Linked DNA regions of Caenorhabditis elegans. The protein of the gene in region 2 purifies or fractionates together with the protein of the main gene of each other region. This does not show direct contact. Each region holds a gene or a part of one and is shown on either strand. Other genes may lie near its edges. The genes, in order: Y57A10A.5 and C04E7.3.

Region 1 (15,704 bases), on a different chromosome or scaffold from region 2:
ACAGAATTTTTGCAATTTTTTTTAGAATACTCTCGAATTAAAAAAAAACCTGAAAAGTAACTTTTCTCCAATTTTTTTCCAAAAATGCTCAGTCAAAAAACCCCAATTTTCCAGAAAATTCCAACGAATCGAATCAATTCGGTGCTCGACGTGGCATTCTACAAAATTCAGCGAAAATTCGTCGTGACATCATCATCATCATCATCGTTGCCCAATTCGACGAGCGCTCGAGGATTCTTGAAAATTTTCAAAACGGTTCTGTATTCGTTAGAATCTCCAGAAGTCTATGGGCTCTTGGAGCAAGTTAAAGAGAAATTGGCCGAGTTGGAGCATTTGGATATGGTAGGTGCCAACTACGAAATTGACCAAGAAATTGGTGAAGCCGATTTAAAAATAAAAAAAAATAATTTTTACAGAATATTTCAACTGCTCACATTGAGGAATGTGTCAAAGAAATCCTCTCTATCTTCTCATAATTTTAATATATTGTACCATTTTTTTTTCAAAAAAATCCAAAATTTGTTTTCTGAAACCGTATATTTTGTTGTTTTCCCCCCATTCCTAATTCTTTATAAAGCTACTGAATGTGTTTTTTTTGCTGGAATTTTTTCTGTTTGAATATTAATTGGTTTTTTCCCAATTTTTATATTTGCAATATTTTTTTTTGTTTATTTCTTAGTTCCCGTAAAATTTAAATTGTGCATTTTTCCAGTTTCGTTGCGAGACCCGAAAAACTGCAAGTTTACTTTTTGAAAGAACGATCCGGTGTTTTTTTGCAGAAAAATACAGTTCAAAAATTAAAATTAGAAAATTTTCCAGTAAAAATGCTCAAAGTTCAGAGCTCAAAAATTAAACATTTAAAATAATCAGTATTTTTTTCATATTTAAAAGATGCTAGACTAAATAGTCTATGCAATTTGAAACCAAACAACACGTTTAAAATGTCTAATTTATTTTTAATACCATTTTTTTAGTTGGCGCAATGAATGCCGCAGATAGGAGAATGCTGAATTTTTTGGTAGCAAAGACGATCACGGTTTGATCTACAAAAAATGCGGGATTTTTTTGCCCCAAAAAAATGTGACGTCGTGGCATTTTTTATTTGGCCGTGGAGCGCTTTTTATTGATTTTTAGGCTTTAGACAATGGACATCACAGACGTCGAATTCACGCGATTTATTGATTTTCTAATCGAAAAAACTAAAGATTCGGTTGAGCCGTTAACGATGGCGAGTATAGTGTTCAAAGAATTCAGTCAGCTTGAAGGAGATCAAATTCCTACTGGATATGGACCTTATTCAAGGTAAAACCAGGTCTCGATCGCATTTAACAAGTATTTAATTTTCGTGTCGAGACCAAAAATTTCGTTCAGATTCCATTTCAAAATCGCGCCGGTAATCGATAAATTCCACAACTACAGTATAGAGACACGAATTCGATTGATGTTCGCCCTGGGAGCCAAGGTGTCGCCGGAATTTCTGGCGCTGTGAGACCTCACGGGGTGTTAGGATGTCCCATTACAGTTTGATCTACAAAAAATGCGGGAATTTTTTGCCCAAAAAATGTGTGACGTCAGCACGCTCTTAGCCATTCGAAATCAGTTGAGAACTCTGCGTCTCTTCTCCCGCATTTTTTGTAGATCTACGTAGATCAAACCACGTGAGACCTTTGACCAGTGGAGCGCGCTTGCAGAGCCCTTTTTCAAACGATTTCAGAATTTTTCTAAAAATTCGTGCTTTTTAGAAAAAAAAAAGTTACTCAAAAAAAGTTGGTCTGCAATCGCGCCCCACTGAACCGAGATATGCTAATTTTGGTAAAGCTTGCAGAACTCGAGAACACGGTATTGCTCAGCTTGACGGGAGAAATAGAATCTGCAAATATGAATCTGAAGACGGAACTCTCCAGCTAGGCACTGCTCATTCCGAATCGGCGAAACGATGCTCTGCCAGTGATTCGGATCAGGGCGGTGCGAAAATTGCGAAAATTACGGAAGAGTCTGTGAACAAAAATTTAAGATTTTTTTCTAAAATGGATATTTTTCAGGCCACAGATCACACAACACCCGACGAAAAGCGAAGAAAATTACGAGTAATAATGAATTTTTTTGAAATTGAATTGCAAGCGCGCTCCGTCGCTAAAGCGGCTAATTTATAATAATTTTCACCAATTTTTTACATAATTTTCAATGTTAAAATCACGGATTTCTGGCTTCCCTCATAAATTGAAATGGAAGAATTTGCCGAACTAGGCCATTTTGGCTCGGCCATATCTGGGGTAGATTTACGGCGCGTTGCGTGTCGCGTCGCGGCTCGATTTTAGTTGTAAAATTAAATGTATTTGTCCGTGTGGAGTACACGACACTTTCCCACGCGTTGTCCGGCGAGCCATTGTCAATGGAGCGCGAAAAATTCAATGAGGAAGGTCAGAACCCCGTGTATGGTTGAGCAAAAATCACTAAAAACAATTAAAAATATCCGAAAAAAAATTGAAATTCCCCGATCTAAAATTTTTTCAAATTTTTTTTTCAGATCACAGATCGCACAATTACAGAAATTATGGAACAATGATGAATATGTTGGGTCTCGCCACGAAATTCCGTCGAAGGGACCAGAATTCAAATTCGAGCATAAGCGTGACAATGACTTGGAGAATCCTGATTTGTTCTTCAGAAAACCGAAATCTGAAATTGATTTGGACGAGATTTGGCATGACGACGATGAAATTGAACACAGTATTTCGAGTTTTCGAGGGAACACCATCAATTTTCACGACTTTCTGAAGAAATTTCGGAAATTTTTGTGCTATCTAGAGATTCCCGAGCTTGATGGGCTTAAAAGTCGGATTAATATATCGATTGAAACAACGTCAGATGAGGTTAATCGAATAGTTATTACCGGGTCTCGACACGACAAGTTTTTGTTAGATTCAAACTGGTATGCGCCTTTAAGGAGTACTGTAGTTTCAAACTATTGCATAAATGTATACTTTTTTTCACGATTTGTTAAAAATTATGTGAAAAAAATTACAGTACTCTTACTCTTTAAAGGCGCACACCTTTTCCCATTTAACAAAAATTTGTCGTGTCGAGACCAGTCTGGGTATTCAAAAAAAAAAATATTCAGATTCTCGAATTCGCCGATCTTCATAAAACGTTCGAAACATTCTTCTTCGGGATTAATCGAAAAATTCGATCTACCGCCGCGGCTAATTCTATGCCGCTCAATGTATTCCTCATCAAATTCAAATGCTTCCTTCTTGGATTGGGTTCTCCCCAGATTTTGGATTTTCAGCACATGGTTCAGGCTGAGATTGATGATCCGACAGTCGTGAATAAGGTTTTTTAAAAAATTTTATAGAAAAAACATGACAAAAAACTTTAAATTTGCAGATTCTTCATCTCAACGACATCTGCCAAGCTGTAAGCTTCCTGTTCTCCATTATTGCACACTGATGCACATTTTTTTCCTTTTTGAATAATTGTTTTTTATTTGATTGCTTTTTGAATTTTTCGAATTATAAACTGTTTTTTTTAAATTAAATTATTTTGAAAATCGTTTAATTGTTTTTTGTTGATTTTTTGATGTTTTGCTTTGGAAAATTTGCGTTTTCAATCGCTAAATTATTTTCTCCACTCTTGCATGCCTTTTTTCACGATTTTTTTTTTCATCACAAAAAATAATTGCCTTTTTAATTAGTCGAAAAGCTAAAAAAACTGAGAAAACGATACCGCGGTTTTCTCCAAAATGGTGCAATATTGCGTCATGGTGTGCATTGCGGACCAAGCATAGCAGCTTACGCGCAAATTGATTTTCGAATTTTGAATCTTTTTATTTTAGGAATTTTTAGGATTTCCAGCTTCTAAAGCGCATTTTTAATAAAATCTCTATGTTTTTGTCTTCCAAAATTAAGATTTTCCGGTTTTTTAATTTTTTTGCCCGAAAAATGCCGAAAACCGGGTGCTAGGTCGTCATTTCCTGAAGTGAAAATCTCGTGTTCCTAAAATTTTTATTTTTCGAGTTATCTGTGATTTTGCGTTGATTTCCCTGATAATACTTTAAGCTTAACTCAAACAATAACTGATAATTGATTTATTAATTAAATAATCTTAATTTTTAATTAATAAAATAATTTTCGTTGAAAGTATCGAAATTATGATTAATAATCCACGTTTCTGTTTCATTCGCGAATATGTCTTCTCTAATTTCTCCTAATATTTATATATTCTAATTTTCAGGTCGATTTCGACTTTCCATCTGCACAATGGTCCTCAAAGAGGCGGAATCGAAAAGATTGATGAAATTTTTAGTCAATCTGACAAAAGGTGCCGTCAAGCCGCTGGTGGCGACGACAGTATTCAGAAAATTCGCTAAGCTCAAAGGTTCAGAGCTTGGTGCAACGGCTTACGCTAATAGGTGAGAAATGTCTGCTGGACTTACGTCTCCAAAATTATTCATTTAGATTTGAAAATAATCTGGTCCCGATCATGGATCAAATGGACAACTACAGTATCGGGTCACGGATTCGAGTGATGTTCGCCTTGTCGGCAACAGTGTCGAATGATTTTTTAGAACTGTAAGGAGAGATTTAACCTTCAGATTTACGAATTTAGTTTTCAGAATCGAAACGACGGGAACTGTTCAAGTGGATGAGTTCGGAAGAATTTCCAAGTATACTTCGAATGAAGGAAAACTTTCGTTGGAAGGAATCTACTGTAAATCTTCCAAAGCAGCACAAAAACGCCCAACGAACGCCAAACTTTCCGCTGATCTCTCGAATCATTGATATTCGTACAGTTCTCGGTGCATTCTTCTTCGGAGTTAGCCGAAAAATCAAATCAACTGGATCGAATAATTCTACAATGAAGGCCAAAGATTTCCTGGTCACGTTCAAGTACTTCCTTCTCGGATTGGATTTTTCCGAGCTTCTGGAGCTCAGCACAGTGTTCAAGAGAAAATTGACGAGTCAGATATTGCAGAGAAGGTTTATCGAAATTGTGAAAAATGCATTTTAATAATAAGATTATTTTCCAGATTCTCATGTACAGCGACATCCGCCATGCTCTCCAAAACCTACTCTCCACAATTTCTCAATAACTCGAAAATTTCTCATTGTTTTTTTTTTGCAAAACTTCCCAATTTGTTATATTTTTCTGTTATTTTTTCGCTCATAATTGTTATTGCCCCATTTTTTGTTCTGCAAGAAAGTTATGAAAAGTTATGAAATTTCAATTCACAAAATACTTTTTACCAAATTTCTCCCAACTTTGAAATATTCTCATATTCAGGTTAATTTCTACATTGGAGCTGCACAATGGCCTTCATCCACACAAGTTTAACAAGGCTGATGAGATTTGCAGTCGATCAGACGAAGGATATTATTGAGCCATTGATGGTAACGAAGGTTCTCACGGAATTCAGTGAAAGTGAAAATGATGGATTATCGCATTACGCTCATTATGCCAAGTGAGCAGATTCTTCCGGCTTCTCTTTAAAACTTTTGGTTTAGATTTCACAATTATTTAGTACCGAATATGGCGAAACTTGCGGAATACAGTATTGAGGAGCGTGTTCGAGTCATTTTTGGATTCGCTGCAGTAGTTTCCGATGATTTTCTGAAGCAGTAAGAACGTGGACTTTTTTGAATTTCTCGAATGATTGAAATTTCCAGAATTCAAAGAGAAGGCCTTGTTCATCTCGATAAGAAAAAACGAATCTGTAAATTTACTTCGCATAATGGAAAGTGGAAGTTGGAAGGAGATCACAGTCACTCGGCGAGAATGAAAAGGCGGTGGTCAATGAGAGTCCGAGTTGTTGTCGGTCTCCCGAGCTTGATGAATTTTCTTGTTGAAAAAACGAAGGACATCATTGAGCCAATGCTGGCGAGTGCAGCGTTCAGAGAATTCAGTGAAAGCGAAGATGGAGGATTACCGGAACATGCCTATTATAATCAGTGAGAATATTATTTCTGCTTCACTTTAAGATGTTTTGTTTAGTTTTCACAAAAATGTGGCACCGAATATGGCTAAAATTGAGGAATACAGTATCGAGGAGCGTGTTCGAGTCATGTTTGCACTCGCAGGAAGGGTGTCTGCTGATTTTCGGGCACAGTATGAACATGTTCTTTTTTTTAATCCGGATTGTAATTTACAAAATCAGAACAAAAGGACTTGTTGAGCTGGATGATGGAAAACGAATTTCCAAGTTTACCTCAACTGATGGAAAGCTGAAGTTGGAAGGAGATCACAGTGATTCGGCGAGAAGGAAAAGAAGCGCGGCATTTTATCGAAAGACTGATCACCATTGTCGTAGTGCGAACGATTCAAAGCCTAGAAGAAAAAACGGAAGGTTCATTGGTCGATATAGAAAGAATTGTAATTAAACATTAGTTTTTCAGACAATCGGACTCGGAATTCTCTGACAAAAGTGGCAGTGATGAAGATGACGTGGAATCTGCAATTTCGTATGGTAATTCTCCGAAAAGAGCAAGATGTGAAAAGTATATCCTGACACGAATATTTACACAATCTATTCATTTAATTTTCAGATCCGCTGATCCTGAAATGCATGTTTCATCCGGAAGTGACGACGATGAGGTGGAGGATGTCGGAGGGATGGACGAAGAGCCGGTGCTTCTGCCGATTGATTCTGATGAATCTCATATCGGCCATTTGCAAAACGGTGAAGAAATGATGGTAGAAGACGACAATCAACCAATTCCTGAGGATCCTCAATACTCAGCCAATTCGAGCCACCAAGGAAGAAGAATGAGCGGACGTATTCAAGAAAAGTGAACTTATTGTGAATTTACTACTAATTTTATTTTATGCTTTTTTTCAGGCTCTCCGCTTCGATTGCTCAAGAGACTACTGATGCTGCAGTCGCAATTCCTCATGTACCGATTTTGAATCCTCCATTCGAAAGTGACGATGAGGAGGTGAAGTATATTGGAGCAGTGAAGGGACAGCCAAAGCCGGGACCGATTGAATCCGTATTTGATCAAATCAATAATCGAGATCATTTCCAAGGAAATCAAGAATACAGAAATCAGTCAATTTCTGAAAGAAAAGTTGATGTCCCACTATTCGTCGAACATCAACAAATCAGTCTTTCCGCGGAAAATCGAGCCACTTCAGCTGAATGGAAATCCATATTTCTGCATGATTTCCTGAAACAGCTGACACAATTCATTTGTTTTTTCGAATGTTCGGAGCTAGCTGAGATCAAGCGAAATATCAAGGAAGTGATGGCTGATGAGGGAAAAATTTCCTCTTTTCAAAAATTAGAAATCATTGATATTCGTACAGTTCTCGGTGCATTCTTCTTCGGAGTTAGCCGAAAAATCAAATCAACTGGATCGAATAATTCTACAATGAAGGCCAAAGATTTCCTGGTCACGTTCAAGTACTTCCTTCTCGGATTGGATTTTTCCGAGCTTCTGGAGCTCAGCACAGTGTTCAAGAGAAAATTGACGAGTCAGATATTGCAGAGAAGGTTTATCGAATTTGTGAAAAATGCATTTTAAGAATATAATTATTTTCCAGGTTCTCATGTACAGCGACATCCGCCAAGCTCTCCAAAACCTACTCTCCACAATTTCTAAATAACTCGAATAGTTCTCATTGTTTTTTACTGCAAAATTTCTCCATTTTCTACGTTTTTCTGTTATTGTCTCGTTCATAATTGTTATTTATTCTCTCCCTTTTTTGTTCAAGTTATGAAAGAATTTTCGTTTAAAGTCTCAAAATGCTTATTGATTATCTGTGTGTATTTTTCACTCACGAATACTTTTTGGCAAAATTCTCCCAACTTTGAAATATTCTCATATTCAGGTTAATTTCTACATTGGAGCTGCACAATGGCCTTCATCCACACAAGTTTAACAAGGCTGATGAGATTTGCAGTCGATCAGACGAAGGATATTATTGAGCCATTGGTGGTAGCGAAGGTTCTCACAGAATTCAGTGAAAGTGAAAATGATGGATTATCGTGTAACGTCTATTATAATCGGTGAGCACATTCTTCCTGCTTTTCTTTAAGATTTTTCGTTCAGATTTCACGAATATCTGGCGCCGATTATGGCAAAACTTGAGGAATATAGGATCGAGGAGCGAGTTCTAGTCATGTTTGGATTCGCTGCAGAAGTTTCCAATGATTTTCGGACACAGTATGGACTTGCACTTTTTTTTTTGAAAATTCCGATATTTGCTTTACAGAATCAGAACAATAGGAGATGTTGAGTTGGATGACGGAAAACGAATTTGCAAATTTACATCGTATGATGGAAAGTTGAAATTGCAAGGAGATCACAATATTTCTGCAAGACCTAAAAAGCAGTGGCCAATTAGAGTCACTCCTGCCGAACTTACTGGATTTATGAATTATCTCGTTGAAAAGACAAAGGATACCATTGAGCCTGTGGTTGCAACAAAATTATTCAGAGAATTTAGTGAGCTTGAAGGAGAAGGACGAACGGACGGAGTCTATTATAAACGGTGAGAAGAGCATTCCTTCTTCTTTTTAAGACTTTTGATTTAGATTTTACAATCAACTAGCACCGAATATGGCAAAACTTGTGGATTACAGTATTGAGGAACGTCTTCGCGTCATGTTTGGATTCGCTGCGGAAGTTTTCGATGATTTTCTGGCACAGTATGATCAAGCGCTCTTTTTTGAAAATTCCCAACTTTAATTTCCAGAATCAGAACACTGGGAGATGTTGAGCTCGATGAAGGAAAACGAATTTCCAAGTTTACCTCAACTGATGGAAAGCTGAATTTGGAAGGAGATCACAGTCATGCGGCGAGAATGAAGAGAAAATGGGCAGCATATCGAAATGCTTATCGCGGTCGTCGTAGTGCGAAAGATTCAAGGGATACTAGAAGAAAAAGCGGAAGGTTCTTTGTTTGATTTAGAAATAATTGCTATTTAAACATTTATTAAACATTTGGTTTTCAGGAAGTCGGATTCGGAATCCTCTGACAAAAGTGACAGTGACGAGTATTCCACATCTCCGAAAAGAGCACGAGCATCTGAAAGTGACGATGATGAGTATATTGGAGCAGTGAACGAAGATCCAGAACATAGACACTTTGATGATTTCCATATCGATCATTCGCAAAACTATGAAGAAACAATGGTAGATGACGACAATCAACCAATTCCTGAGGATCCTCCATACGAAAGTGACGAGGTGGAAGGCCAGCCAAAACCTGAACCGATTGATTTCGAATTTGATCAAACCAATAATAGAGATGTATCACACAGTTTGAATATTAATAATTTGCGAGAAAATGGAGAAGTCAGCAACAATCCGTCAATTTCTGAAATAAAAGTTGATTTTCCATTCTTCGAACGTCAGCAATTCAGTGTACCCACGAATAATGGAGCCACTTCAGCTGAATCAAGAGCTATTTATATGCATGATTTCCTGAAAGAAGTGATCGAATTCATTTGCTTTCTCGAAAGGACAGAGCTCATTGAGATCAAGAAACAAATCAAAAAATCGATTGGAACGGATGATGATAAGGTAAATAGACATTTCTCATTAAAGAACGAAATTTTGAATATCGATTTTCGATTTTCAGAACCTGCAAATCACTGATATTCGTAAAATGCTGGAGTCATTCTTCTTCGGGATCAGCAGAAAAATCAGATCAGTTTCTTCCTATAACTCGACTTCTTCTGATATGTTGGCGAAGGATTTCCTGCTTAAATTCAAGTTATTTCTTCTCGGATTGGACAATTCAGAGCTTATAGAGCTTCAGCGGAAGGTTCAAGCCGAAATGGATGAGCCGAAATTGGCACAGAAGGTTTTTCGAATCCGTTTAATAAATATGGTTAAAAATGTTTGCAGATTCTTCTGGACAGCGACGTTCGTCAATCTCTCCAAAACCTGCTCTTCAACATTTCTCACTGAACTTTTTTATTTTCTTTTTGTTATATCTGTCCATTTTCTCCCTTTGTTCCATTGTTCTGTTGTTTTTTCGTTGATAATTGTAATTTCCACAATTTCCTGTAGAAAAATATCGTTGATTTGCAATTTTATTTGCTCTTGAAATTTCCCTGTGTTGCATTGTTCTGATACGTTTTTGTTAGTAATTTATTTATTTTTTTTATCGGTTTTTTGTTCTTTTTTTTTCGAAGAAATTTTTTGTTTAAAGTATCGAAATACTAATTAATTAATAATTCACGTGTTGATTTCATTCACGAATACTTCCTTTCTAATTTCTCCCAATATTTAAATATTCTCATATTCAGGTTAATTTCTACTTTGGAGCTGCACAATGGCCCTCATCCACACAAGTTTAACAAGGCTGATGAGATTTGCAGTCGATCAGACGAAGGATATTATTGAGCCATTGGTGGTAGCGAAGGTTCTCACGGAATTCAGTGAAAGTGAAAATGATGGATTATCGCATTACGCTCATTATGCCAAGTGAGCAGATTCTTCCGGCTTCTCTTTAAAACTTTTGGTTTAGATTTCACAATTATTTAGTACCGAATATGGCGAAACTTGCGGAATACAGTATTGAGGAGCGTGTTCGAGTCATTTTTGGATTCGCTGCAGTAGTTTCCGATGATTTTCTGAAGCAGTAAGAACGTGGACTTTTTTGAATTTCTCGAATGATTGAAATTTCCAGAATTCAAAGAGAAGGCCTTGTTCAGCTCGATGAGAAAAATCGAATTTGCAAATTTACTTCTCATGATAAAAGTGGAAGTTGGAAGGAGATCACAGTCCCTCGGCGAGGATCAAAAGGCAGTGGTCAATGAGAGTCCCGAGCTTGATGAATTTGATGAATTTTCTTGTTGAAAAAACGAAGGACATCATTGAGCCAATGCTGGCGAGTGCAGCGTTCAGAGAATTCAGTGAAAGCGAAGATGGAGGATTACCGGAACATGCCTATTATAATCAGTGAGAATATTATTTCTGCTTCACTTTAAGATGTTTTGTTTAGTTTTCACAAAAATGTGGCACCGAGTATGGCTAAACTGGAGAACTACAGCATCGAAGAACGTGTTCGTGTCATGTTTGGATTTGCTGGCGAAGTCACCGATGATTTTCTGAAAGAGTATGAACTTGTTCTTTTTTGAAAATTCGAATATTTGCTTTACAGAATCAGAACAATAGGAGATGTTAAGCTGGATGAGATGAACCGAATTTCCAAGTTTACCTCAACTGATGGAAAGCTGAATTTGGAAGGAGATATTAGTCATTCGGCGAGAAGGAAAAGAAGCGCGGCATTTTATCGAAAGATAGACCACCAATGTAGTAGTACGAATGATTCGAAGTCTACAAGAAATAGCGGAAGGTTCATTGTTCGATATAGGAAGAATGGTTATTAAACGTTGGTTTTTCAGAAAGTCCGACTCGAAATCCTCTGACAAAAGTGGCAGTGACGAGGATGGCGTGGAATCTCCGAAAAAAGCGAGAAGTGAAAAGTATATCCTGACACGAATATTCACACAGTCTATTCATTTAATTTTCAGATCTGCTGATCCTGCAATGCATGCTTCATCCGGAAGTGACGACGATGAGGTGGAGGATGTCGGAGCGGTGGACGAAGAGCCGGTGCTTCTGCCGATTGATGTCGAACGTGATGAAATCGATAGTCAAGATGTGGCAGATAATTCGAGTATTGATCATTCACCGGCACGAGTATCTGAAAGTGACGATGAAGAGTATATTAGAGATGTGAACGAAGAATTTGATGAATTTCACAACAGAGATGTATCACATCACAACTTGCATATCGATCATTTGCAAGCCTACAATCAACCATTTCCTGAGGATCATTCAAACGAAAGTGACAATGAGGTGGTGTATATTGGAGCAGTGGAGGGACAGCCGAAGCCTGAACCGATTGATTTTGATTTTTATCAAATCTATAATAGAGATGTATCGCATAGTTTGAATATCAATAATTTGCGAGAAAATGGAGAAGTCAGCGGCAATTCGTCAATTTCTGAAATAAAAGCTGATGTTCCATTCTTCGAACGGTCTACCAGCGAATAATGAAGACATTTCAGCTGAATCAAAGATCATAAGTTTGCATGACTTCCTGAAATCCCTGATCCAATTCATTTGTTTTCTCGAAAGTTCGGAGCTCACTGAGATCAAGCAGCAAATCAAGGAATCGATTAGAACTGAAGAAGATGAGGTTTACAGTTTAAAAAATACTGATAAAAATAAAAATACTGTAATCTATATTTTCAGAACTTGCAAATCACTGATCTTCGTACAGTCCTCGATGCATTCTTCTTCGGAATCAGTCGAAAAACTAGAGTAGCCGCGGCAATTCCCCCAGCTATGAAGATGAAGGATTTCCTGGTCAAATTCAAGTTATTTCTTCTCGGATTGGATTCCTCCGAGCTTCTAGAGCTTCAGCAGAAGGTTCAAGAAAATATTGATGAGCAAAGGAATTGGCAGAGAAGGTTTTTAGAAGTCGTCAGAAATTAATTATATTAACAATAAAAATTGCAGGTTCTTCCGATCAGCGACGTTCGTCAATCTCTCCAAAACCTGCTCTCCACAATTTCTCAATATTAAATTATTTAAATTTTGTTTTGTTTTTGTTGAATTTTTTGTTGCAAAATAGGTTTTTCACCTTGTTTTGTTGTCTTTTTTGTTTCAATAGTATTTAATTTTCATTACCATTACTTTAACGCTCTTCATTTTTTTTTAAAGTTTAATTTTACTTTATGTAATACTTAATTTACTGAAAAGTTCAAAAAATAGTTGTTGAAAATACGTTTATTTCGTTTACGAATACTTCTTGTCTTATTTTTTTATTTTTTTAAAACATTTTTGTATACAGGTTGATGCACAATGGACACACCCCTCGGAAGACTGATTAATTTTTTAGTCGAATGGACGAAAAATGTCGTTGAACCGCTGGTGGGTGGACGGATCTTCAATCGATTTGCTGAACTTGATGGAGCCGGGCTTAGTCATATTTATTACTATATAAGGTTTAAAAAATATTCAAAAAAATTTTTAAAAGGTTACTTGTACAGGTTTCATGAGCACATTGCTCCGAATATTGCTAAATGGGACAATTTCAATGTCACGACACGGATTCGAATGATGTTCGCCTTGTCTGGTGAAGTGCCTGATGACTTTTTGGCGTTGTAAGTATTATTTTATTCTGTTTTACTTTATTTTAAGTTTCAAACTGTATTCATTGTTAGAATTAAGCTCACTGGAACTGTCCAACTCGATGCGAAAAGGAGAATCAGCAAATACGCTTCGAATGACGGAAACTTGAAGCTGGAAGGATGCCACGGTTGTACTGCGAGATCAAAAAATGAGCGGGGCAAAGATCCTGCCGAAATCACGAGGTTCATGAATTTTCTCGTTGAGAAGGCGAAGGTTTCCACTGACCCAATGTTCGCGAGTGTAGTGTTCACAGAATTCAGGAAAAGTGAAGAAGACGGATTAGCGTACTCAACATATTGTCGAAAGTGAGAACATTCTTCCTGTTTCTCTTTAACATTTTTGGTTTTAGGTTTTACAACTATCTGGCACCGAGAATGGATCAATTTGTCAATTACAGTATTGAGGAGCGAGTCCGACTGATGTTCGGTTTGGGTGGAGAAGTTACGGAGGACTTTCTGAAACTGTATGAACATGCTATATTGTAGTGCTATTTTTTCTACAAACACACAAAACTGGCCTATTCCTACATGATAGTACAGCTTTTTGATCTAAAAATTATATGGACATATAGAAAATAGGTTGTTCTATCGGAAAATAACATTATTTTCTGTTGAAATACTTGAAAAAGACATCGAATAGTGTCTGAAAGATTCCGTTAAAAGTTTTTTCGGCAAGCGACAATTTTCAGGCACTATTCGATGTCTTTTTATAGCTTTTCAACTGAAAATTATCATATTTTCAGATAGAACAACCTGTTTTCTACATGTCCATATAAATTTTAGATCAAAAAAGTTGGATTATCATGCAGAAATAAGCCATTCTTGTGAGTTTGTCAAAAAAAAAATGCCGCATAGCCCTGCTATATTGTAGAAAATTTCGAATGTTACCCTAGAATTTGCAGATGTCGAAAGGAAGGAGTCGTTGAGCTTGATAAAAACAATCGAATTTGCGAATATATCTCATATGATGGAACGTTGAAGTTGGGAGCGGCCCACGGTCTATCGGCTAACATGAAAAGACGTAGTTTATTGATTGCCAAAGACCCTTCCGATCTTCCGAGGCTGATGAATTTTCTCGTTGAAAAGACGAAGGATGCCACTGAGCCGATGGTATCAATTGCAGAGTTGTCAGAATTCAGGAGACGTGAACGTAGTGAATTGACGGAGCAAGCTTATTATGGAAAGTGAGCAGCAGACTCTCGCTGCTTCTACAGCACATTTTTTCCCACTTCTACGACTTTAAAGGGGAAGGGGCGCATTTACGAGCGATGGTCTCGACACGCGCGTGGCGAGACCACGCCGTAATGCGCCCCCTTTAAAGTCGTAGAAGTGGAAAAAAAATGCACTGTATAATAAAATATTCTCTTTAAGATTTCACCGTCAACTGGCACCGAAAATGGGTCAAATTGTGAACTACAGTATTGAGGAGCGAGTTCGTGTCATGTTTGGATTTGCTGGCGAAGTCACCGATGATTTTCTGAAACAGTATGAACATGCGTTTTTCTTTGAAATCATTTTAAATCAAAATAAATTAATTTCCAGAATTCAAACGATAGGAACTGTTCATCTTGATGAGAAAAAACGAATTTGCAAGTATGCCACACACGATGGAAAGCTGAAGTTGGAAGGAGATCACAGTCATACGGCGAGAATGCTTAGACGTGGTGCATATTACCGAAGACTTAAGACTGGAAGGTTTTTCATTTATTATGAAAAAGCATTTTAATTTTATATTGTTATTTTCGGAAAATCCATCTCGAAATTCTCTGGCATGGAGCATTCCAGATCTCCAAAAAGAGCACGAATATCTGAAAGAGATGATGATGATGAGTATTTTGGAGTTGTGAACGAAGGTGAATCCCACAATAGAGATGTATCACATCACAACTTGAATATCGATTATTTGCAAGCCAACAATCAACCAATTCCTGAGGATCTTCCATACGAAATCGACGACGATGAGATGGAGCATGTTGGAGCAGTGAACTATGATCCAGAACATAGACACTTTGATTTTGATGATTCCCATATCGGCCATTTGCAAAACGATGAAGAAATGATGAACAATCAATCAATTCCTGAGGATCCTTCATACAAAAGTGACGAGGTGGAATATAATGGATCTTTGCCAGGACTTCCGAAACCTGAACCGATTGATTTTGATTTTTATCAAATCTATAATAGAGATGTATCACATAGTTTGAATCTCAATAATTTGCGAGAAAATAAAGAAGTCAGCTGGAATCCGTCAATTTCTGAAATAAAAGTTGATTTTACATTCTTCGAACGTCAGCAATTCAGTGTACCCACGAATAATGGAGCCACTTCAGCTGAATCAAAGATCATAAGTTTGCATGACTTCCTGAAATCCCTGATCCAATTCATTTGTTTTCTCGAAAGTTCGGAGCTCACTGAGATCAAGCAGAAAATCAAAGAGTCGATTAGAACTGATAATGATAAGGTAGACAGTACTAATAAAAATAAAAATTTGAAATTCTATATTTTCAGTTCCTGCAAATCACCGACATTTGTACAGTACTGCAGGCATTTT
Region 2 (15,519 bases):
ATTTCGGGTACATTGCTAATGAAAGTTGAACCTGCAAAAAAACATCATTTCCACTTTGAGTACGTAAACAATTTCATACGTTTGTAGCCAAAACTTCAAAACCGGCAGAAGCTGATATTTTGTAGCATTTCAATTTATTTTCTTTGTCAACTGTCACAGTACATTGAGTTTGTTTGTGATTTGGATTGAAACCTAGCACAAGAAACAAGCCACTGAAAAATATATATTCATAATTAAGAATTTGGAAAATTTTTAATTTTTAGAGTTTTAGTTTTGGAAAATGTTGAAGAATTTTGATTTTATTAGGTTGGCAAGCAAGTCCTGTCCTATTTTTCAATCATTTATTTCTCGGAGCAAACTCAAACAAGAAATCAGTAATATGCTCCATCATGATCATCAAAGTTCTACCAACGTTGGGGTAACTTGTGGATCCCCTGACTGTAGAACCCAGCGGGCCGGGATTCAAAGTATAGATTCAATTCCACTTTGAGATTTTTTCTTATTGTGAAGGTTCTTCCTTGAACGGTTTGAGTCAGATAGGAGAAAATTCAATAATCACTTGAAGGAGAATACGGTGGCTGAAGAAGAATTATCCATCCATATTTTACCAGTTCCTGCATCACTTGTTTTGCAACATGTGGTTGGGCGTTATTATGTTGGGAATATACTTTCTTATCCTGTAAGGCTGAACGATCGACTGTTTTCTTCAAATTCCGTAGTTGTCTTGAGTGGGTCTCTCCGGTAATAAATTCACCCTCAGGTAACAGCTCCCAGTACAATGGGCCAGCCAGTCCCACCAAACAGAGAGCATACTTTTTTTTGGGTGATGGCCGAGTTTCGAAACATCCTGTGGGGTTTGTCCTTCTCCAATCCACTAGGCTTGTCTGTGGTGGTTAGCGTACAGCACCCACTTCCCGTTTCTAGTAATAAGCTGGTCCAAACAATGGTCAACGCCGGGGGAGAGTGAGGAGATTACATGAAACGTCAACTTGGCGGTTAAGGATGGCAAGGTCAAATCACGAGGTACGAATCGACCAAGAATTTTACTCATGCCGAGCGATTTCAATCCATCTGCTATAGAGTTATAAAAGACCCTAAGCTTGCTTGCAAGCTCACGGGTAGTTTCAAATGGATCTGATTCAACACTGGCTTTTAGTGCATTCAAATCCAACTCATGTGGTCTTTTGACCATTGCTTTTCAATAAAAGAAAAGTCGCTATTTCCGAAATGATCAAACCATTTCTATACGTTTTTATACGAGGGAGCATGTCCATCATAAACGTTCTTCAGAAGATTTTTGGAATCCTCTATAAGGGTGAGCTCCAGGAACATGTATAACAGAAAATGGTGAAGACCAATTGAGGTAGGTATATTCAGCGTAGGGCTGTTAAAAAGAAAAGAAAAGTCAACTCATTTCTCGTTTTTATGAGACAAAGTCGTCTCGTGTCTCACGTAAATGAGACACGATACGACTTTTTCTCAAAAAATAAGAAGAAACAATATTTGTCTCACGAAAAATAGAAAAGCACAGAAAATCTAGCCACAATAGTTCACGGAAATAGCTAATGACTGTTGAAAAAAACTACTTATTTTATTGAATTTATTAAATGTTTTTCATTTAAAAAAAATTAAAGATTAAAGGACGATCCGTTCTTCAAGTGCTATGCACTGCGGATCTGGGGTTCAGGTACACTGCCTGGTGGTGATCACCTCTGGGCTGTAATTTAAGCCACGTCCTAGCCGGGGACTGTGGCCGATAATCCAGTCGTGGATTGCTCCACTTCCCAATAGAGGCTGGGTGAACCTAGGGGGGTGAGACCAGACTTGAACTCGTGACCTCCAGACTGCTAGCAGCCACCACTACCGACTGAGCTATCTGCCCCCCCCCCCCCCCTTGAAAAAAGAGACATTATTCGTCATTTTTTGTCAGCTTATCAATCACTACGAGTGAATAAACACCGAAATTGATTTACAGCCCACCATGGCAAAACAAAAAATTAGGACACGACTTTCTTGCCAACCTAATATATGGGCCTGCAGAGGCTAGCAATTTTTATATATATAATATAATACATATTTCAAATCCTGTACCTTGGGTGACATTGATGTATTGGTTTATCTCCAAAATATGATCCTCGTCTAAATCTTCCATATTTATCTGACAAATTTATAATCCGGCCATCAATATTTTTTGTTCTAACAAAAACACATGGTGGGAAGTTTTGTGCTTGGCTAGGAACCATCTGGAAAAAATTGTTTAATAGTTTGTAAACTGCAGTTAAAGTTCATGAAGGTGGGCGAGTTTAGAATCGAAAATAGTTTTTAACCGACACAAAGCTGACACAGATTTTTTTTAATAGATTGTACACAACGTAGTGCAAAAGGTAGTTATTTGGATGCGGCCAACATGTTTGGGGTTCCGCGCCGCACTATACATGCGCATGCATGTGGATACATTGCGGCGCCTTACCGGCACCGGAATGGAAGCCCAACAAAAAAATAATCAACCTACTCAGTAGTGTAACAAAAACAAATTTTTTTCAAACTTTTTCGTTTCTTTTTTTTTTCACAAGTATCCACAATTAAATATGTCTAAAGGATCACGAGTTCACGGTTCAAAACGTTATCCTTTTTATAACTGTTATAATAATGCTAAATTCAAATTGTTAACTACTTTAGCAAACAAAAAGTATAACGTAGATAATTAAATTGCAAACGAGTTTTATTACTTATTTGCAAACGATAATTTTGTGAAAGTTCATCAAAAAGAATTCTCAACAAACCGTTATATTAGTGATGACATCAAATCCCAAAACATCGCAAGCTCCATCGGACAAGCATAACTTCATTTTTGGTTTGTCTGCATCAAGTATGAAACTTATGGAGGCTGAATTCAAAATTTCCAGCTCAAAGTCTCCGTAGAATATCTGTTGTGGATACATCTAAAATACAACGTTTTTTTATTTCAAAAATCAATAAACTCCAAGTGACCCCATAACTCCAAATTTTATAATAAGTCTTTTCAAAAGTTTGGAAAATATTATTATTCGTTTATTCGTTTTTTTGGCTATTCGTTTTTTTCGGCCAACGACTAATTAGGCTTAAGCCGATTTTCAACATTTTCGGCTAACGGCTAATTCGGCTAAAGCCGTGTTTCAAAAGTTTCGGCTAACGGCTTATTCGGCTAATTAGGAAAACGTCGGCTAACGGCTAAATCGGCTAATATTAGCCGAGTTAAAGGTGGAGTAGCGCTTGTGGGGAAATTTCTTCAAAACATGCCAATGACAGAATATCATATTTAAAAAAATTATAAAATTTTTCTAAATTTTATATGATTTTTTGAAAGTTGAAAAAATCTCGAATTGCATCAAACTCCCATTTGAATTACCGCCAATAGTTCGATGTTCGATGGAGCGCGCTTGTCATTTTTTAATTTTATTTCATCAATTTTTCACATTTTTGACTGATTTTTCATGTTTTTTTTGCGTAATTTTACTGAACATTCAGTGAAAAATTCAAGATAAATGCAAATTGTTCACTAAAAACAAGTGAAAAACAGAGAAAGAACGTTTTCCAACGACTTTGAGCCTGAAATAATCGATTGAACGATTTTACGCCTTCATCTCCTCTTTTTAATGAACAATTTGCATTCATCTTGAATTTTTCACCTGAATTTTCAGTAAAATAACGCAAAAAAAAACATGAAAAATCTGTCAACAATGTGAAAAATTAATGAACAAAAACTGAAAATGACAAGCGCGCTCCATCGAACATCGAATGTATTGGCGGTAGTTCAAATGGGAATTTGATGCAATTCGAGATTTTTTCAACTTTCAAAAAATCATATAAAATTTAGGAAATTTTTTTAATTTTTTGTACTATGATATTCGGTCATTGTGGTACCAGGCATGTTTTAAAGCAATTTTCCCACTGGCGCTACTCCACCTTTAACCGGTCGGCTGAAATTTGGTTAATTCCGTTAACTTTATCAGTTTCAGGTTTTTTGTTGATTCAGCAAGTTTTTCACTAATTTTGTGGGTAATCAAGTAAGTAACAACAATTCAATTGGTAACAGAAACAAAAAAACACTGAAAGCAATTAAACAATAAAAATTTGTTTGCAAACAATGCAATTGTGCTCCATTGTGTTAGCCGAATTAGCCGAACGGATATTTCGACTAATTCGCCTGTTAGCCGCCCACCTCTGATCCCCACTGACGACTTTCCATCTTCATAATGAAAATGTAAAGGTGGTGTAAGCAAATTTTTTATTGCTTCATTAGGCTTAAAGTTGCCTGAAAACATCGAATTTTATAATGGAACTTTATATTTTTTTTAAATTATGGCGGATCAAAGAATGACCTACAGTTAGTTAAAAGTTGAAATATGGTCGCTTTGTCAATGTAACAGCGGCTGGAAACTAGTTTTTTTTTTTGAAATCACAGTCTAATTTTGGGTACGTATGTTGATTATTTCACGTTTTCAACTCGATTTAGATTTTTTAAAGCCGATAGACAAAGAGATTTTTTTAAATGTTTTACCATCTCTTCATCCATCGAATTTAAAATATCTAACTTTTAAGTCGACTTGTAAGTCTTGTAAGTCGAGTTGAAAACGCAAAATAATCAACTTCGGCACCAAGAATCCGACGGGGATTTCAAAAAAGTTAGTTTCCAGCCGCGGCGACACTGACAAGTTGATCAAATTTCAAATGTTAACTTATTTTAGGTAATTGTTTGAACCGCGATAACATTTTTTTGAGAAGTTATCAAGAAGCTTCATTATGAAATTTCGTGTTTTCAGACAATTTTGAGTCATTACTTGTATATATATTTCCTGCCCATGGAATAATGAGTAAATGTCGCCATATTTTACGCGCAAAAAGCATTTGCGTCACTTTTTCTCGCATGCTATCTCAAAATGTCAATGGCGAGGGGGCGTTGGAGAAAAGAGACGCAGGCGTCTCCGCAGTTCTCATCAAATCATAGACACGTAAAAAAAAATAGTGTCCGTTTGTTTCAGTGACGTCCCAACGTGGTGAGACCCATTGTGGTGTGACCCATTTTAGCGGGAACTCAAATTGCTTCAGAAAAATTTCGGCGGGAATTCAAATTTCTTCATAAAATTTTGGCGGGAATTCAAATTTCCTCAGAACATTTATTTTTACAAAATCTTACCGTGCAAGTTATAGCATCATACTTATGTTCAAAATGCCACAGAATCTTATCCACTGTCTTTAATGAAGTTTGGGGAACATCATGCCCCATTGTATTCTCGTAATAGCAGTTCACTTCATTTTCTGTTTCTTTCAACTCTGCCAGCAGGGGCTCAATCTTTTTCCACTTTGCTTCTCCCCATTGATAATGGTGAGATGGATTAACTTTCGAAAGATAAGAAATATCGATATTTTTGACTTTCTCCTGATCGTCCACAATTAGCATATTTTCAAGATATGTTGGTGTTGACTTTTCAATTGCCAAGCTGGGCTTTGCCGCGGTTTTAAATTTTATTTCGTGAAGTTCTTGACACTTTTGGTTGATGATTTCCTCTTCTAATAATTTATTAGCTTTAACAAGTGATTTGAATTGATTCCAGACTTTCAAATTTCCGTGTTTACTATATCTTGCATTTCTCAAAAAATCAACTTCATTTCTTTCCATGCTCATCATTTTTTTGGCCAGCTCCCGATTATTTGCAGTTTTCAGTTGGCTTCGTCTCTGGTATCGGTCGTTGTCTCTTTTCAACGCCATTTCAGATCCACTCCACTCCACTGGTTGAAGATTTTCGTTTTGCAATACCAGATCCTCAATCATTGTTCTTAGTCGCACTTGATCTGAGACCTTTTCAAAAGATGTCCCCTCGTTTTTCTTTGATTCCACTTCTTTTTGTTGCCATTTTTTCTTTGCTGAGGGTTCTGCCACTAACGCATCGTCCCTTCGCCTCTCCTTGGTCAATTCTTTCAATTGTTTCACTGCTTGATCTTCACTTAATGATCCTATAGGAACAGTCAGTATTTTTGACTTCTGCTCTTCTTCACGATGTGCAGTTTTACGGGACCTTCTTTTTGTTTCACTTGATTTTTCTTGTTTCTGTTTGTAGGCTTGCGCCCATTCAGTGAGATTCTCGATTTGCTCATTTTCGGAGACTTCTGCTTGGACACGTTCAGCTAAACTTGCTGATAACAACTCATCCTCTGAGATGGAGCATTCTGTTTTTTTAGGTTCTGACAAAGACGTCGGCTTCGAAGCTTTTTTTGGTCCGGAAGTTGTTTCCGGTTTTGGTCGCTTCTGAAAATTTGGCGTATGACTTTTTTACAGGTAGGCAAAACATGAAATCTTCAGGCGCCTGCTACTGCGCTGCATACCGGAAACCCTCGGATTTTTGCCCTAATTATACGACTTTCGTATTGATAAGAACACAGAAAAAAAGTCAAAAACATACAATACGCTAAACACCAAAAAATAGATAATAGAAGATAAGAGCATTTCACTAGTTGCTAGAAAGTATATTTCATAGAAATTTTTTTTTGGAAATTGTTTTTTCACGCGTCCACAATTTTTTTATTGTTTGTATTGTTTTACTGTTAAAGGTGGTGTAGTTGAATTTTTTTATTGCTTTATTAGACTCAAAATTTTCTGAAAACACCGAATTTCATAATGAAACTTTTTGAAAACTTCTCAAAAAGTTATGAAGGCTCAAAAATGGCCTAAAATTAGTTAAAATTTGAAATTAGACTGACTTGTCAATATGATATGTATTCCCCCAAAAAGTTGTTTTTTGATCAACTTGTTCCTTGTTGCCTAGTTCACTTACCTATGCTTTCGTCGTTGAATTTAAAAGACTAATTGTAAGATGAACATGAAATAAGCTACACAGAATACTAAATTTCTAACCTTGATTGTACTTTGTTGAAGTTTTTGAGGATTGCGATACTTTTGTTGACCTTGATAGGTTTGGGTATAACCAATCCAAGGTGGAGCTGCAGCGGCTCGTTTATTCGGAACCGCACTTTCTCTCGGATCTTCCATCATTTTTCTATCATTTTCATTTTGATTCGAAAAAGCATTATATTGTTCCTGAACTTGTTGATTGGGCCCAACTCCTGTATTCAGCGGCCTTGAAACCAGCCCCTCCGGGGACAGAGCATTGGGATCAGGCGGTCCTACTGTGTTGCGAGGCAACGATGCATGTCCTTGCGTACTTCTTGAGCTGTCTCCCGATTCATGTCTTGACAGTGAATTTCTTCCAGGTTGGTTCTTATTTGTATAGCGCACTGGATGCGTAAAATCATGCGATGACATTATGGGAGTATCTGCAGATATTTTGTATGAAAGTTTGTTATTTTGCATTCAAAAACTAGGAATGTTCGCCTATTAATTTCATAAAGATTTTCGTCGACCGCAAAAAAAACTGTGAACTGATTTTTTCAACTTTTCTGTGAGTTTGCATTTTATTTTAAACTAAGCAAAATCAGCACAAGAACTTTAAAGGAAGCTCCAGAAAATTGTTTCCGGGCTAGGATGCCAAAAATTTGTGATGGTAATGTTTGCTCTGAAAACTGTATGAGCAAAACTCAAGTTATGATCAAAAATCTCAAATATTGTTCAAATAAATGAGCATGTTCAATTAGAAAGGCTTGAATTTTGCAATTTTCTAAAGTTTATCTAAAAAAAATGAAATGCAACAAAAAACTCATGACGTGTGACCCAGGGCTGGGAATTTTTTGGTTTTTTTGTTTTTTGTTTTTTGGTTTTTTTGGTATTTTGACGAAAAATCGATTTTTTAGTTTTCTCGGTTTTTTGGGACCAAAAAAACCAAAAAATCCAAAAAACAAATGTTTACCGTGTCTAGTCTCGACTCGAGACTATTCTGTATTAAAATACATTGAAACATGTATTTTAACACAGTTGTGACGTCATAAATGTATTTTAATACATTTTGCAACATTACTTGAATAACGCCATTAAAAATGAACTTAAGCATCAAAAATTTTTTGGTTTTTTTTTGGGTTGGTTTTTTGGGTTTTCCGAAAATTCCAAATTTTTGGTTTTTGGTTTTTTTTTTTGGTCCTAGCCCTGGTGTGACCCTAAATGTTTTGTTACCCTGTTTAATTTTAAGACCAGAATTTTCCAACAAAAAAATACCTACCAGTTTGTGCTGTAAAGTTTGGAATAGCCCGTATATCAGGTGGGTCGTTTACATTCATTTCGACTTACGAATATCTAAAAAAAATATGTTATAATATATAACGCAGAAAAGCAATTAAAAGATCTCTTGCAGTAGAATAACAAACATTGAAAAAGATTGAGTCAAGAAAGAATACCTCGGCATTCAGAGGCAACTTCCTGCCACACTTTGGCAACTTATTTAGTGCCACTAAAATAATTTGCCGAATTGCTGGCAGGAAGTTGCCGAGTTGTTGGCAGGAAGTTGCCACGTAGTGGCAGCAAGTGGGAAAGAACGCTCCTCGGCATTCAGAGGCAACTTTCTGCCAAACTTTGCTTACTTGCAACTTCCCGCCAAACTTTTGCACATTCCTGCCAACATTTAGATGTTGCTGAGCGTTCTTTCCCACTTCCTGCCAACAACTCGGCAACTTCCTGCCAGCAATTCGGCAACTTATTTTAGTGGCACTAAATAAGTTGCCAAAGTGTGGCAGGAAGTTGCCTCTGAATGCCGAGACTACTTAAAAAGCATGTATTTTAATACAGTTGTGACGCCATTAATGGGTTTAAATATGTACATTTTGCAACATTACTTGAATGACTCCATTAGGTTTTTGTGAATTTAAAGGTAGAGTAGCGCCAGTGGGAAAAGTTTTTTGACTACTCTAGTTGGGCCAAAATGCCCACATAACATTTTTTATCAATTTTTTTGGAAATTTATTATTTACTGTCAGAATGTAAGAATTACTCAGCTTTCGCCACTCAAAACTTGGAAGTCGACCGAAAAAAATGTTTTCCAAAATGCACACATTGGATTAGGATTAGTGTTGTTTTAAGCCTAAAAATGCAAATCGATTTCACTTTTTAATTAAATTATCATTTTGAAAGAAAATTGATAAAAAACGTGTTGAAAAAAAAATTGTTGACTAGTTATACTACACAAGTACCAAACAAAATTTTCAAAAAATATTACACAAATCGATGTTTGCAGAAAAATTAAATTTTTAAAGATGTGCTTGCAATCAAAAGATTTTGAACATCATTTGACTAACGGAATGAAGAAAGCATAGAAAACAGTAGAAAAGGAAAAGACCAAGGCGGCGAGACCATAAATTTGCCGGATAGAGAGGACACATCAAGTCGCTTCACCGGCTGCGTCTCCAGCCTTTCAACACGTTTTCTTGCGTTTCTTTGCTTACTGCACTCTCTTTCAGTGTCATATCGATTGCCATTAAACACGAAGAGCGAGCACGTGAACCACTGAAAAATTGACCGTTTGATTTGCAAAATATTTCTATATTAAAAAAAAGCATTTCTGTAAGAGCATTTGCTTCTTTGACGGCGCTGTCAGGCTTTCGTTACTTAACGAACCAACAAGTGTTTTACGTCAGCTAATATGAAAATATTTCAGCTATTAAAAATATGTATATCAAATCCGTGTCTTTCAAGTTGTAGAGCAAGCATAAATAGAGATTTTGTGAGCACAACAACGCTCCCATAATTATGGACCACCCTGTAACCCGTTAAAGGTGGACTACACGCTGTGGGAAAATTACTTTAAAACATGCCTATGGGGTCACAATGACCGAATATGATGATAAATAAATTCGAAAAAAAATCTAGATTTTATATGATTTTTGAAAATTTGAGAAATCTCAGTTTTCACCTAGTTCCTATTTATATTTCCGCCAATTGATTCATTCGAAGGACCGCGCTTGCATTGTTTATTCATTAGTTTTATTTATTATCATTATTCCACTGATTTTCTTCATTTTGTTTATATTTTTTTAAATGAAAATTGAAACGAAAAAAAACAAGATAACTGCAGAATGCTTGTGAAAAGGTAATTGAAAATGCGTAAAACAGTAAAATTATAAGTTTCGACGACAACAAGCATGAAATTAGTATATTTCACAGTTTTATGCACTTTCAATGACTTTTTAGCACACATTCTGCATTTATCTTGTTTTTTTTTCGATTCAATTTCCATTTAAAAAACACAAAAAATGAAGAAAAACAGTGGAATAATGAGAATAAATGAAATCATTACTTATATATTTTTAAAAAAATACAGCTTATTTTTCCTGTCCGTACCGTTTGTTTGTTTGTTTTTGTGACCTCACACCCAACTATACTAAGAACTGTTGGCGGGGTCCGTCTCCCTTCGTGGTCAGGCCCATCGTGGTGAGACCCATCGTGGTGAGACCCATTGTGTCGAGACCCGTCGTGGCGAAACCCATCTAGATGAGACCCATCGTGGTGAGACCCAAAACTTTGGCGGGACATTCAAATTTTCTGAGAAGAAACATTTGGGCGGGAAATTCAAACTTTCTGAGAAAAAATTTTGGCGGGAAATTTAAATTTTCAGAGAAAATATTGTGGCGGGAAATTCAAACTTTCTGAGAAAACTTTTTGGCGGGAAATTCAAATTTTCCGAGAAAAACTTCGCGACAAATTAGGTGAAAACTGAGATTTTTCGAATTTTTAAAAAATCATATAAAATCTAGAAAATTTTTTGGAATTTTTCAATCATGATATTCGGTCATTGTGACCCCATGGGAATTTTAAGCAATTTCTTCACAGAGCGTAGTCCACCTTTAAGTGTTGAACAAAGTTATAGTTTTCAGTTCGAAAACAAGCTGAATATGTGTTTATGATTTCTGATTTGCACTTGATTGTATTCACTTACTTTTCGAAATAAATAATAAATTATTAAGGGTAAATTAGTTTAAAATGAGCAAAGATTAAAAAAATTGTTTCTTTTTCAGAACTCAAAATTATCGTACTTCCTCCAGTTGAAATAAAATCTTCTATATCTATATTTTCAAAATCAAACAAATTGACAGGTTATCTTTGTATTATTGAATTTAAATGTTTTATCTTATTGAACAACAGTTATATTGACGTTATAAGCCGGAAAGGTGAAGGGGAGTTTTTCCAAAAACATTCCTGTAATAATTTCAAAAAATCAATTTGGAGTTGTCCTACTTTTTGGTATTTAATGCATGTGTTCTCGAAGGAAAATATTGGCTAAAATATTTTCTGAAACGTGAGATGTTTTTAATTCATTATTAATGAGAAAAATTACATTAAGTGACAAACATACAACGGTTTCTCCATTCATTGTAGAAATTAATGCAAGTTTCTAATTTTCGAAGCAAGTGAGATCAGCCAAAAGTAGAATACGGAATCATTTTGATTGAAATTGGATGGGATGAACATTGAAATGAACGAAAAACTAAGAGTTTATCTGATAAACTTTACTTTTAATAAAGTATATAGTTAAATGTTGATTTTGAAAATTATACGAAGCATAAGTTTTAATTAAATAATGAAACAGGGCTGGGCGGCAATTGTCGTTCGGCAAATTGATTTGTCGACAAATTCGGCAAATCGGCCAATTGCCGGAAATTTTAATTTTCGGCACATTGCCGATTTGCCGTTTGCCGGGCATCAGATTTGCCGGAAATAATCAAAGGGAGGGCCACTGTTTTGAAGCATAGGTCTCACCACGACAAAACTTACTACTGTAAATTTTAAATTTTTCCCGTTTTAATTTTGTGTTTTTGTATAATTCCGTTGTTTTTTATGATAACGTCTCACACTAATTGATGATTGACAAAATAGCCTTTGAAAAATCAGAAAAAATTAAGCGTTTATTTTTTCCAGTAATTTGCCGACAATTTTCGGCAATTGCCGTTTTTCCGGCAAATCGGCAAATTGCCGGTTTGCCGATTTGCCGGAAATATTCAATTCCGGCAGTTTGCCGATTTGCCGGGAAAAATTGTTTACCGCCCTGTTCTGAAACAGACTCTGAAGTTAGACAGCACAACTTCCGTTCAAAGTCCAGAAAAAAGACAAAAAAAAAGCAAGCGGTGCAGTAAAAATAGAGGCTACAGAAAAGCCAAGAAACAAAAAAAAAATTGTCAAAAACGAGTATATAGATGCATGTTATCTGGGTGAACTCACAAGTACAGTTTGACGTCTGACCCTTTCCAAACGCTCGAGTCGTAGGAAGTTATTTGACCCCGGAAGATTTGCAGGAAAAAATAAATGCCCATAGATCGATTGGCAAGGACTAGTAGTCCAGAACACGTAGGAAATATGTTTTTTTTTCAGTTCAAAAATAAAAAGGACAGACACTGCGTATCGCATTTTATACTTATGCATTTTCTGTCAATTCATGTTTATTAAGATAGACTAGCGGGCCCTGCGGCCCGCCAGTTGCAGGGGGTGTAGGGCGAGTCCCCCAATCGGACGTAGGTTCTCGGCTTCGCCTCGAACCTGTCAGAGGGTTCGTGACAATTGCAGTGAGCCAATGGGAGGAGAGGAGACCCACTCATATTTTGCTTAAAATCGAGCATTTCTATTCGAATCCCGATTAGCAAAAAAACATTTGTCAGTTGGGGGAATCGAGCAAACGAGCAAAATATTCACAGCCATACACACTAACCACTCGGCCATGCGGGAGAGACCCGACAGGGAGATGCAGGGAAGGGAAATTTCTGGAGGGAGTCGTTTTTCGATTCCGCTTTCTTCAATAATTACATTTTGAGAAAAGGCGTTCGAAAACCGTTTATTACTGATATGTCAGCGGGAAAACGAATTTTTGAAAATTTTATTACAGGATTGTACTCATTATTGATTTCCCAAAAAGGAGACGTATAGTTGAGGGCTATATCTTGTACACAGACAGATGTATAGAAAAAAAACAAGTTTTGGCCTGAAAATTAATAAAAATAATATCTCTTGGCAGAGTATTTCTAATGCGACGAAACTTCATCTTCCATCAAATAAAATCAAAAACTATGAATTAAAAATACATTCCGCAAAACTTTAGTGGATAAAATGTTCAGGAGACGCAGGAAACCACTCCCCCCAGTACTAAATTTTTGAATTATTTTTTTCTTGAAAAATTTTCCCACTGAACTTTTTACAAATTTTATATGTCTCGATGCGTCTTGATGAGACCTACACGTCAATTTTTGGAAAACTAAGAAAACTCGAAAACTGACCGAGTTATGATTGAAAAAGTAGATTCGCGAAAATGGGAAAGTGTGCAAAATGTGGCACTTATTCGTCTTGCTCGGCCGACTCATAAAACTTTTCTTAATTCTGAGTTGAAAATCGTGTTTAGCGAACTTTTTTACGTGGGGTAGAAAAAAAAGTATCGAAAAAGATGAAGTAGAACTTGAGATAAAGACGAAAAACAACTTTTTGCCTTTTGCACTTATGAACTCAAACTTTCTTTCAAAAAATTCACCTCTCTGAGTAGTATCTTGCACATAAATTTGGAACAAAACCGAGCAAAACCCGAATTTTAATTCAATTAAAACATGGTTTTTTGGGGGTAAAAAGAGCAACAAAAATTTTTTTCAAACTAAGGAAAACCGCCCTGAGCTCAGTTTTGCTCCAAACTTTGTGCAGTTTTTTGCTCCCCCGTGGTGAAATATTTCTAGTAAGCTGTCAAATATTATAAAATTCAGTCAAACGGCTCTAGAGTTATTAATGAAAACGAAGTGTGACATTTTTTCGCAAGCCAAAAAAAACGCGAAAAAACGCGAAAAAGGGGCGGAGTCGCCACACTCGGCATTTATTAGAGGCTGCTTGGCAGAATTGAAATGTATCCACACCAGGGCTATGCGGCAACCGGCAACCAAGTTTTCGGTTGCCGAAACTTTTTGGGTTTGGCAACTTTGGCAATTGCCGGTTGCCAAAATTTTCAGAGTTCGGCAACTTCGGCGTCGCACATCCCTGATCCACACGTTTTATACTAGTTTCCATAAAACAGGTGTCACACGTTGACATGTATGTTTGGTACACATTTCTCCTCCTGCTGACCCACATACCACTCAGCACCGAATCGATAACTATTGGTATGCGGCCATCTCTCATAATGCCTTCATTCTCATAGTCTTATTTGATTTTCTCAGATTTTAAAGTTTATATTTACCACTAATTTTGAAAGTTTAAATGCTGATTTCAATAAGATTTTTGCTTATTTTGAAAATATTGTTTTCACTATAAAAAATATGTATATATACTGTTGCATTGAACATGCTATTTTTGAATGATTTTATTCAAAATTAATAAAAAAAGACTGAAGAGAGTGGGATTCGAACCCACGCCCCCGAAGGGACTGGTGCCTTAAACCAGCGCCTTAGACCGCTCGGCCATCTCTCCACATTTTTCTCTTTTCACTCAAGCTGTTGACATGTTGAAAAAACCCCAACCGATTTTCTTTTCTGTCTCTTTCTCTTTCTCTGCCTCTCCACCGTCTCTCACTACACCTCTCTTGACGCCACAAACAACATTCCGATATTCCGATGGTGTCGTTGTTTAGAGTGTTATTGTAATTACTGCAGATGGAGAAATTTTTTATTTATAATTCTTGTTCTCCACTTTACTAAAACAACTCAAAACGTTTTCAGATAATTCTTAACTTATTCAAATAAATATTTTCAGGATGGACACAACGAATCAGTCAGAAGACATAAAACCTTGCGTAAGTATTGAATATTTGGCACTCATTTTACTTGTTTCACGTCAAAATTATTTTAATTCCGGCAATTTGTCGGTTTGCCGATTTGCAAGACCACCTCAGCTTCATACCCTTCTAAAACAGTTCTAATTTTAGGATTCTGATTTGATGGAATCAATTTTGATGTTTGATGAGCCCATTTCCGACATTTTAGCGCATAATAAATTGTGGATTAGTCATGCCAGGGTATTTCCAACGCAATAGTTAAGGCGAACTTCTTTGTTTTTTTTTTCAGACGAGATCCAATTTCTTTCCACAAGAAGGTCGCCACATTTCCAATCAACACACCGAAGCAGCGACATCGTTGAAAATGTGGATGCTTTCAAAAAATTTGGTGGTCATTGTGAAAAGAAAGGACGATATATTCCCTTGCAAAATTCTGGTTGGTTTTTTATCAAATAATACGGTTGAAAATTGTGATATTTTTTCGCTAAAGTAAGCATCGAAAATGACTTCCCGATAATAATATTAGTTTTTTAACTTTATAATAGTATTGCATCTAAAAAACAGCCAAAAAGAGTGCAAAACTCATTAAAAAACGTTATATAAAGAAAAAGTTATTTTTGATACCGATTTCCCTAGGTGCTCCAAAATAAGGATGGGCGGCAGTTGCCGTTCGGCCAATTTTTTTTTGTCGACGAATTTGGTAAATCGGCAAACTGCCGATTCGTTGTTGGATTCGTTGTTGAAATCGTTTGTCGTCCACCCCTGTTTCAAAATCACTTCACTGCAAAATCACTACAAAATAACTGCACGAAAAAATGTGCTGAACAAATGAAAAGCCAAACTTCCATTTTTATTTAAACTAGAATTA

Evidence for each region.
Region 1: the proteins of C04E7.3 (region 2) and Y57A10A.5 fractionate together in Caenorhabditis elegans (co-fractionation; one large-scale study listed by BioGRID). This does not show direct contact.

The regions. Positions count from the first base shown.
Region 1 is NC_003280.10:12,146,659-12,162,362, forward strand, and holds Y57A10A.5 (SPK domain-containing protein), read left to right. Parts: upstream 1-7,827; 5' UTR 7,828-7,853; coding exon 7,854-8,005; intron 8,006-8,048; coding exon 8,049-8,162; intron 8,163-8,211; coding exon 8,212-8,490; intron 8,491-8,533; coding exon 8,534-8,647; intron 8,648-8,694; coding exon 8,695-8,892; intron 8,893-8,953; coding exon 8,954-9,524; intron 9,525-9,582; coding exon 9,583-9,807; intron 9,808-9,851; coding exon 9,852-9,914; 3' UTR 9,915-10,154; downstream 10,155-15,704. Other genes in the region: Y57A10A.2 (SPK domain-containing protein), read left to right, coding at 1,145-1,302, 1,372-1,485, 1,826-1,993, 2,043-2,087, 2,528-2,873, 3,122-3,334, 3,388-3,450; Y57A10A.4 (SPK domain-containing protein), read left to right, coding at 5,310-5,461, 5,505-5,618, 5,667-5,948, 5,992-6,105, 6,155-6,343, 6,393-6,494, 6,543-6,785, 6,836-7,489 and 1 more.
Region 2 is NC_003284.9:338,990-354,508, forward strand, and holds the start of C04E7.3 (uncharacterized protein), read right to left. Parts: upstream 8,229-15,519; 5' UTR 8,206-8,228; coding exon 8,148-8,205; intron 7,312-8,147; coding exon 6,893-7,311; intron 6,287-6,892; coding exon 5,177-6,286; intron 2,943-5,176; coding exon 2,784-2,942; intron 2,244-2,783; coding exon 2,092-2,243; intron 213-2,091; coding exon 80-212; intron 32-79; coding exon 1-31. Other genes in the region: sor-3 (Sop-2-related protein 3), read left to right, coding at 14,631-14,669, 14,802-14,891, 14,941-15,087.